Arabidopsis thaliana: one gene and its partner. The protein of the gene in region 1 interacts with the protein of each later gene in a pairwise test. Each region holds a gene or a part of one and is shown in the gene's direction. Other genes may lie near its edges.

Evidence for each region.
Region 2: the proteins of AT3G27050 (region 1) and SCRM2 interact in a two-hybrid assay, tested with the Arabidopsis thaliana proteins (one large-scale study listed by BioGRID).

What each region holds. Positions count from the first base shown.
Region 1 is NC_003074.8:9,977,561-9,981,990, reverse strand, and holds AT3G27050 (plant/protein), read left to right. Parts: upstream 1-2,147; 5' UTR 2,148-2,354; coding exon 2,355-2,445; intron 2,446-2,521; coding exon 2,522-2,562; intron 2,563-2,837; coding exon 2,838-2,895; intron 2,896-2,995; coding exon 2,996-3,089; intron 3,090-3,163; coding exon 3,164-3,248; intron 3,249-3,326; coding exon 3,327-3,392; intron 3,393-3,591; coding exon 3,592-3,705; 3' UTR 3,706-3,896; downstream 3,897-4,430. Other genes in the region: TSO2 (Ferritin/ribonucleotide reductase-like family protein), read left to right, coding at 934-1,441, 1,530-2,020.
Region 2 is NC_003070.9:4,382,368-4,387,406, forward strand, and holds SCRM2 (basic helix-loop-helix (bHLH) DNA-binding superfamily protein), read left to right. Parts: upstream 1-1,936; 5' UTR 1,937-2,390; coding exon 2,391-3,275; coding exon of another isoform or gene 3,276-3,356; coding exon 3,357-3,569; intron 3,570-3,651; coding exon 3,652-3,822; coding exon of another isoform or gene 3,823-3,831; exon of another isoform or gene 3,832-3,941; coding exon 3,942-4,025; 3' UTR 4,026-4,284; downstream 4,285-5,039. Other genes in the region: AT1G12855 (F-box family protein), read left to right, coding at 1-1,244; AT1G12870 (F-box and associated interaction domains-containing protein), read right to left, coding at 4,762-4,869. UniProt on the Arabidopsis thaliana protein: Mediates stomatal differentiation in the epidermis probably by controlling successive roles of SPCH, MUTE, and FAMA. Functions as a dimer with SPCH during stomatal initiation.

The sequences.
Region 1 (4,430 bases):
CGCTCGCTTCTTTAAAAAAGTGTCGCTGGAGAGATCTCGCGACTACCAAAAGAACAGGGCCTAACCTAAATGTTTTTACAAGGATTCTTATGCATAAGTTGAAATAAATAGAAATATGTAACTAAATTACTGTAAGAGGAAAAGGCTATAATGTGATACATTATAAGTTTATAACCCATAGTAAATGTTTCTTCTTTTGTATATTTTCAGTCAAAAATATGAATTTCAGTATATCAAGTTTATTCGGTTCGATCGCATCAAATTTGAGAGTACAATTTGGTTAATTCGGTATTAGAATTCTATCGGTCAGGTTCTTATAAAACTTGGTTCGTTTCGGTTTAATTTAAACATCAAACTTGATTCTTGTGCCCCCAAGTCCAATTACAATACTTATATGATTATATTCTGGTCCGATAAATCCATTGGGCTTATTAATGGGCTTTAACTCTCTAAAACACATTTTGGCGCGTGTAACATCGCAACACATCAAACGTAGGTGCGTGTACCTCACATGAAAACACACGAGAACCACATACGTACGCGTCCCCACCAAGAGTTTCGAGTTTTAACAAAATGTCGTTTATACCCTTATACTTACCCGGCAAATTTATCGCATGTTGCCGCCAAACTTTATCACTTCCCTCGCTTCCAAGGCTAAATCTCAGTGGGTATTGACGATAATACCCTTCATCTTCCTCAACAAGCTTTTTTCTTTGGATAAAAATTCCCGAACAAGCTTCTCGAAACCAAACAAATTTCAAACATTTTTAATATTTCCCTCCTCTATTTTCCCTCTTCACGTCAAAAATTCAAAAACCCCAAAACCCTATAATCTCCTATATAAATATTCAGCCCTAGATCTTATAATTCATCAATCAAACAATCTCTTCAATCAAATCTCTTCTTCAATCAAATCTTCAAATCCCTTCAAAGATGCCTTCAATGCCAGAAGAGCCGCTCCTAACACCAACCCCAGACAGATTCTGTATGTTCCCAATTCACTACCCACAGATCTGGGAAATGTACAAAAAAGCCGAAGCATCATTCTGGACCGCCGAAGAAGTAGATCTATCACAAGACAACCGCGACTGGGAAAACAGTCTCAACGACGGTGAACGTCACTTCATCAAACACGTCCTCGCTTTCTTCGCTGCATCTGACGGAATCGTACTAGAGAATCTCGCTTCTCGCTTCATGTCCGATGTTCAAGTCTCTGAGGCGCGTGCTTTCTACGGTTTCCAGATCGCGATTGAAAACATCCACTCGGAGATGTATAGTCTCCTTCTCGATACTTATATCAAAGATAACAAAGAGAGAGATCATCTCTTTCGTGCCATTGAAACAATCCCTTGCGTCGCCAAGAAAGCTCAATGGGCTATGAAATGGATCGACGGTTCTCAGACTTTCGCCGAACGAATCATCGCTTTCGCTTGCGTCGAAGGTACCTTATATTTACTATTTTACCCTTTATTTTTTGTGGGTCTTCCTTATTGTTACTTGAATTGACGATTATGTCCTTTGTGTTGAAGGTATCTTCTTCTCCGGAAGCTTTTGTTCAATCTTCTGGCTGAAGAAACGAGGACTCATGCCTGGATTAACATTCTCAAACGAATTGATCTCACGTGACGAAGGTTTACACTGTGATTTCGCTTGTCTACTCTACACGCTACTCAAAACAAAGCTTAGCGAAGAACGCGTGAAATCAATCGTCTGCGACGCGGTCGAAATCGAGAGAGAGTTTGTGTGCGACGCGCTTCCGTGCGCGTTGGTTGGGATGAACCGTGATTTGATGAGTCAGTATATTGAGTTTGTTGCGGATAGGCTTTTGGGTGCGCTTGGGTACGGGAAGGTGTACGGTGTTACTAATCCGTTCGATTGGATGGAACTTATTTCACTTCAAGGGAAAACGAATTTCTTCGAGAAACGTGTTGGTGATTACCAAAAGGCTTCCGTTATGTCTAGCGTTAATGGTAACGGCGCGTTTGATAACCATGTCTTCTCTCTCGACGAAGATTTTTAAAGAGCGTTTGTTTTGATGCTATAATTACGATTCTACTCTTGTATTATTACCGTGTATTATCCTTGGTTTTTGAATTAATGAATAATTAGTTGCTTTTATCCTCTCTTTCTTCAGCTTAATCTCCATGAATTAGGGCTTATTCGATTAATGAATCCAATGATAAAGTTTCAAAAAGCGACCAAGACAAAGGATATTAAAAATTAATATGAAAAGCGACAAGGAATAAAATTGGACAGAAGAAATTAAGGTTAAGGGCACTTCCGTCATTTTCATATTATTTGTGGCATTCCCAATTTCCCACTTTGTGGCTCCAAAGAGTTTTTTTTTTGGGGCAATGGCGTCGTCGCTGCAAAGCTCGGGGATGTTGACGAAAGAGCAAATGGTTTATCTCTTTGATCGATTCGATTACTTGACTTCACAATCTGGTAATTGTGTGTTCTTTGTTAAGGTTTTTGAATTCATTTTTATTGATTGATTCATTGCAAATGTTTGGTTTCTCAGATGTGAAGAAACGAATCTCCGACGCTGTGGATGACAAACAGGTTAGAAACTGAGAATTTTGTATAATTGTTTCGATTATGCGTTTATTAGTGATTAATGCTTGCTTTGTAGTTAATTAAGAGTGTTGTTGTTGGTAGAGTAATGTCGTTTTCAAGTTGGATGAGATTGTATAATGGAGTACTTATTGTTTCTTAATTTTGTGAACACAAAAGTACAACACTTTAGAAAAGATTGATAAATTTGAAGAGACTAGTTCCAGTTGGAGATAAAATGGGATTGTGTTTAGTTACATGTACTACATTGTGATTGAATGCAGGAAGCTGTAGCGGTAACAACTGCTATTCAAGAGGAGATATTCTTGGAGATGGGGATTGGTAAAGTTCTCTTTAACCTTTTATTGGTTGCTTTTGAGTTATACACACCACACCACACCATTACATGTTTCTTACTATGAGGTATATTCGATAAAAGCAGACCCGGGATTTGGTATTGGCTGCTTGGGAAAGCTGAACTCTGCATACGAAAACGATAAAGAGTTGATGATTGGTTTCTACAAGTTTCTCGCAAAGTAAGCTCTTCTCTTCACGGTGTTATCAGAAATTCGATTCATATATATGAGGGGCTGATTTCACAGTTTAATAGGGAGGAGATGGCATGTGAAGAAGCTGAGCTTGGACAAGATGGATTTGAACAGAAAATGAAAGCACTACAACAATTACAAGAACAGGTAATGTTAGCTTTGGTTACTATAAGAAAACTATCTCTCCAAGGTCAATGTCTAACTATTCGAATGTGCTTACTGCAGCAACTAGAGATGCTTAAGTATATGCGTAAATTCTCTCTGGATGATCAATCTGCTATCCTTCAAAAGGTAAACAAAAACAAAAAAAAAACTGTTTTTACACTTTTTAACTACCATGATAATATTTTCCATTAGCATGAACAGAAAAAGTGTTTTATTATGGCTTTTGGTCCATCTTGCTTACCGGTAAATGAGAAACTGTCTGAGTCTAGTGAGGACTGATTCATATTAGATTGGTCTAATATTCGTTGTTCTTGTACCAAAACAGCTTCAGAAGCAATTAGAAAATGCGGGTTTTGAGCCGGAGGCGTCTCTTTTGTCAGGAGAGGAAATGGAGGAAGCTGGAAGAAGAAGAGTTTCACCTGTTTTTGGAAGCAGATAGCTTTTCAGTTCTCACAAGCTACTTCAATTTCTAATACTCAAGTCGCTCTCTCTATTCTCATGTCATCTCCATATACTTAACTCTTTAAACGTAAATGTACAAGAAAAAAACCTTGCCTCATTTGACTCTCAACTGCATTTTCATGTGAAGCCATTTTTTTTTAATGTATATTGGTAGTAAACTATATAGTTAATAAAAAAAGGAAAACAAAAAACAATTTAGTACAATTTTGTTCCATAGTGTAATCTTGACATGATTTTAGAAGAGTTAGATAACACAGTTCATAGCAATCTCTTGAATTTAGAAGTTTGAGTTAAAAATTTGTGTATTTAGTTAGTATCCATTATCATCAAGAGCAATGGGGAATCATCAAGCTGATAAGAAGTTCGCTTGGGTGATTAAGAATTTCAACTCTTTGGATACCACTAGAGTTTACTCTGATACATTCAAGGCCGGTCGTTGCAAGTGGTAAAGAACATAACTTGTTTGCAAGTGCTTTATGGTTGGTCGCTGCAAGTGACACATATGGTTTTTGCTTGCAGGCGTCTAGTCGCTTATCCCAAGAGACGTGATAGGTATACTACTTCTTTCTCTCTGTTTCTATGTGTTCCTGATTCGGAATCTTTGCCTTCCGGATGGAGAAGACGCGCTAAACTTATTGGTTATAACAAAAGTATTAAAAATTAGGAGAGTGGGATAAGAATCGGCTCTCTTGAGAACCGACT
Region 2 (5,039 bases), on another chromosome or scaffold:
AACGAAAGAGAAGAAGAATACCTAGAGGAAGAGGAAACGAGAAGGCAGTGTTTGCACCATCATCACTACCAAACGATGTTGTAGAGGAAATCTTCTTACGACTTCCGGTGAAAGCAATAATCCAACTAAAGTCTCTCTCAAAACAATGGAGATCGACGATCGAGTCTCGCAGTTTTGAAGAGAGACACTTGAAGATCGTCGAGCGATCACGCGTGGATTTTCCACAGGTCATGGTCATGTCTGAAGAATATTCCTTGAAAGGAAGTAAAGGTAATCAGCCTCGTCCAGATACAGACATTGGTTTTAGTACAATCTGTTTGGAATCGGCTTCTATTCTGTCCTCCACTCTTATCACTTTCCCTCAAGGATTTCAACACCGGATCTATGCTTCTGAAAGCTGTGACGGACTTTTCTGCATCCATTCCCTAAAAACACAAGCCATATATGTAGTTAACCCGGCCACTCGGTGGTTTCGACAACTTCCTCCGGCTAGGTTTCAGATTTTGATGCAAAAGTTATACCCCACTCAAGACACTTGGATTGACATAAAACCAGTAGTCTGTTATACAGCATTCGTGAAGGCCAATGATTACAAATTAGTGTGGTTGTATAATTCTGATGCCTCGAATCCAAACCTGGGAGTTACAAAGTGCGAGGTTTTTGATTTTAGGGCAAACGCTTGGAGGTACTTGACTTGCACTCCAAGCTATCGGATATTCCCTGACCAAGTACCAGCAGCTACAAACGGGTCTATTTATTGGTTCACGGAACCATATAATGGCGAAATAAAAGTGGTAGCTCTCGATATTCACACTGAAACGTTTCGTGTGCTACCTAAGATTAATCCGGCCATTGCTAGTTCAGATCCTGACCATATCGACATGTGCACTTTGGATAATGGTTTGTGCATGTCGAAAAGAGAATCGGATACGTTGGTCCAAGAGATATGGAGGTTAAAATCATCAGAAGACTCATGGGAGAAGGTTTATACCATAGATTTGCTTTCTTGTTCTTCTTCTTCTTTATCTGAGTTCCGCGATGGATTTAATTGGACACGAAAAGATTTGGTTGAGCCATCCACACCAGTGGCGATATGCAAGGACAAGAAGATTCTGCTCTCACATCGCTATGCCCGCAATATGATCAAATACGATCCCCAAATAAAATCTATCAGTTTAATTTACCAACCTCCTTTGTGTAGAAGATATGCTTCTTATTTTCAGAGTTTGATCTCTCATATATAAAATGCTTTGATGTATTTGGAAGCATGTAATGTAAGAAACAAAGCATTAATTGTTTGGATTGTTATATTATCCGATAGCATGCTGTTATTCATAAATCATAATAAACCATACTTATTTCGCCAAATGACACTATACTTACCAAAAATCATACTACTTTATGAAATGATACAGATTTTTCAAAAAAATGAGGACGAGTATTTTCGTTAATCCACACAAAAATCAGTTTCATTCTGTGTGTGGATGTAAAAGGAAGATGAAATATAGATTTTATCTTAAAGGGACCATTGCCTCGTTGTTAAAAAAAAGGGACCATTGCATCCGACATCTTTTATCCGTATTAATCTTGAAATGTTTATTCAATATACTTTGTTGCAAGATTTTTTTTTATTCAATATACTTTTGTTATTCATGTCAAAAAAAATTTGATTAATAGCCAATCTATGTAACAATCTAAACACAAGTTTGCCGCTACAATTAATATGAGTCTATGACACACATCACAAAGTTTTGAGAGATTAAAATTCTTTAGTCCCAAATACTTCAAATATAGAAAAAAACTACAATTTTTCTTTTCAAAATTTGTTTATTTTACGGTGACAATTTTTATGATTGCCAACCAAATCCCACATTATTAAGTTTTTCAACCAAACTGAACTGTATACTTATTTTGATTATTAACGGTCGGATTTAGCTTTAACTAAATCATCTTCCTAAGCTCTATCACTGAAATAATTCTGCAGACAAAAAAAAATGAGAGAGAGGTGGCAAAGATGAAGTGGAGGTGAGAGACGGAAAGCAAAAACAATAGTCACGAGAATCAACACCAACTCTTAAACCAAGATAGACCAAGAAACCAAACAGAGTAAATAAATGGTGGCCTTGACAACATTGAAATCCCCAAAAATCTCAACTTTTTAGGGTTTTCGAGCTCTGAAATCTCTCTATCTTTCTTCTTCAGATTTCTCACTTTTTTCTTCTTCATAAGATCCTCGTGATTCCACTTTATAACGTACGCCTCCTTTCAAGAAAAATCTCTCTCTATATTATCTACGTTTCTCTCGCCTTGTCTCCTTTTGAGGTTCCATTTCTACTTCTCTCCAAAATTCGAAACTTTTCCCACTCTCTCTCTCTCTCTACTAGTTTGACATGAACAGCGACGGTGTTTGGCTTGACGGCTCCGGTGAATCTCCGGAAGTTAATAACGGTGAAGCTGCGTCTTGGGTCAGAAACCCAGATGAAGACTGGTTCAATAACCCACCACCACCACAACACACTAATCAAAACGACTTCAGATTCAATGGTGGCTTTCCTTTAAACCCCTCAGAGAATCTGCTTCTTCTTCTTCAGCAATCGATTGATTCTTCTTCTTCTTCTTCTCCGTTATTACATCCTTTCACACTCGACGCTGCTTCACAGCAACAACAACAACAACAACAACAACAGGAACAGTCTTTCTTAGCTACGAAAGCTTGTATAGTTTCTCTTCTCAACGTCCCAACCATCAATAACAACACTTTCGATGACTTCGGCTTTGACTCTGGTTTCTTAGGACAACAATTCCATGGAAATCATCAATCTCCGAACTCGATGAATTTCACTGGCTTAAACCACTCAGTACCGGATTTTCTTCCAGCTCCGGAAAACAGCTCAGGATCATGTGGATTGAGTCCTCTGTTCTCAAACAGAGCAAAGGTTTTAAAACCGTTACAGGTAATGGCTTCATCTGGCTCGCAGCCAACTCTGTTTCAGAAACGAGCTGCAATGCGTCAGAGCTCGAGTAGCAAAATGTGCAATTCTGAGAGTTCTTCTGAAATGAGGAAATCGAGCTACGAGAGAGAGATTGACGATACTAGTACCGGAATCATCGATATCTCTGGATTGAATTACGAATCTGATGACCATAATACTAATAACAACAAAGGTAAGAAGAAAGGAATGCCTGCAAAGAATCTTATGGCTGAGAGAAGAAGAAGGAAGAAGCTTAATGATAGGCTTTACATGCTTAGATCAGTTGTTCCCAAGATCAGCAAAGTAACCAAAAAGATTCTTCCTTTTTTCTCTTTGTTCTCCTTAATAACTTCTTGTGTCACTAATTTTGGGTTGCAAATGTAGATGGATAGAGCATCAATACTTGGAGATGCTATTGATTACCTCAAAGAGCTTTTACAAAGAATCAACGATCTTCACACCGAACTTGAATCTACTCCACCGAGTTCTTCAAGCTTGCATCCGTTAACACCGACTCCACAAACGCTGTCTTACCGTGTTAAGGAAGAGTTGTGTCCATCTTCCTCCTTGCCAAGTCCTAAAGGCCAACAACCAAGAGTAAGAATAAGCTCAATTGCTTTCTAGTGGACAAAGCTGTATTCTTTAATTTTCTTAGTAACGCTTCTTTGTTTTGATATAGGTTGAGGTTAGATTAAGAGAAGGAAAGGCAGTGAACATACACATGTTCTGTGGACGTAGACCAGGTCTTTTACTTTCCACCATGAGAGCTTTGGATAACTTAGGATTGGATGTTCAACAAGCGGTGATTAGCTGTTTCAATGGTTTTGCTTTGGATGTTTTCCGCGCTGAGGTAATATAGTTGTTAAGATGCTATGCTGATCACTGATTAGTAAAACTAGCAGTCAAAGAATAGTTATTTGAGAGAATGATTAGTATACAAGTAACAACATGTTTTGTGTTTCTAATCAGCAATGTCAAGAAGACCATGACGTGTTACCTGAACAAATCAAAGCAGTGCTTTTAGATACAGCAGGTTACGCTGGTTTGGTTTGATTGCGAAGCAGAAGGAAGCATCTGTGTGGAACAGAGCTAGATCTAAGTCCTTGTTCTGTTTTAGTCAGCAATTTTCTTACTTAGTTTCATCAATTTCAATCATGTATGGAAGATGATAACTGTTTTATTTTAGCTATGAGAACATGTGTTTGGGGAACAATAGTTGCAACCTTTGAGCAAAATGCCATTGTTTCTCAATAATTCTACTTTGCTTTTCATTTATATGTTGTTTGCAAGAAGAGAGCAATGTTGATTTTCATTGATAAAACACACATGAGTCTGTCATGAGAAAAGGCTAAACAAAATATTAAGAAATGCACAATTCATAGGCAAACGCTCTGATATATCAATTTTTCAGAACAGAGATGAATCTCTATGTAAAATTCATATTCTTTATAAATGTCTGAGCTTGGTTCAGTTTAGTAAGATTTGGTTTGTGCCGTGGGCGACTGAAGATGTTAAAGACAAAAACATAATGGAACCAGATAAACTTGGCTAATTGGTAAGAATTAAAAGAAAATCTATGGTATAAATCTTCTCCCATGTGTCTTCTGATGATTTCTTCAGCCTCCAAATATTTTGGATCAGCTTATCTCCTTCTCTTTTCGACATGCACAAAGCATTATCCAGAGTGTATATATGGCTAGGATCTAAACTAGCAATAGCGGGAACTATCTTTGGCAGCAACCGGAATTTTTCTGTAATGATATCGAAAACTATTACTTTGATTTCAGCATTATATAGCTCTGTGAACCAATAAAGCGTCCCGTTTACAGATGCTGGCTTTTGGGCATGGTATATTCGATAACTTGGCGTGCAATTCAAGTACCTCCAAGCGTTTACCCTAAAATCAAAAACCTCACACTTGGTAAGTCCTTCGTTTGGACTCGTGGCATCAGAATGAGACGCATTAGAATTATAAAACCACACTTATTTGTATAATTTGCATCCATCTCTATTGTTTTGAGAGAGACTTTAGTCGAATTAGTGATTTCACAGGAAGTCTCAAGAAGA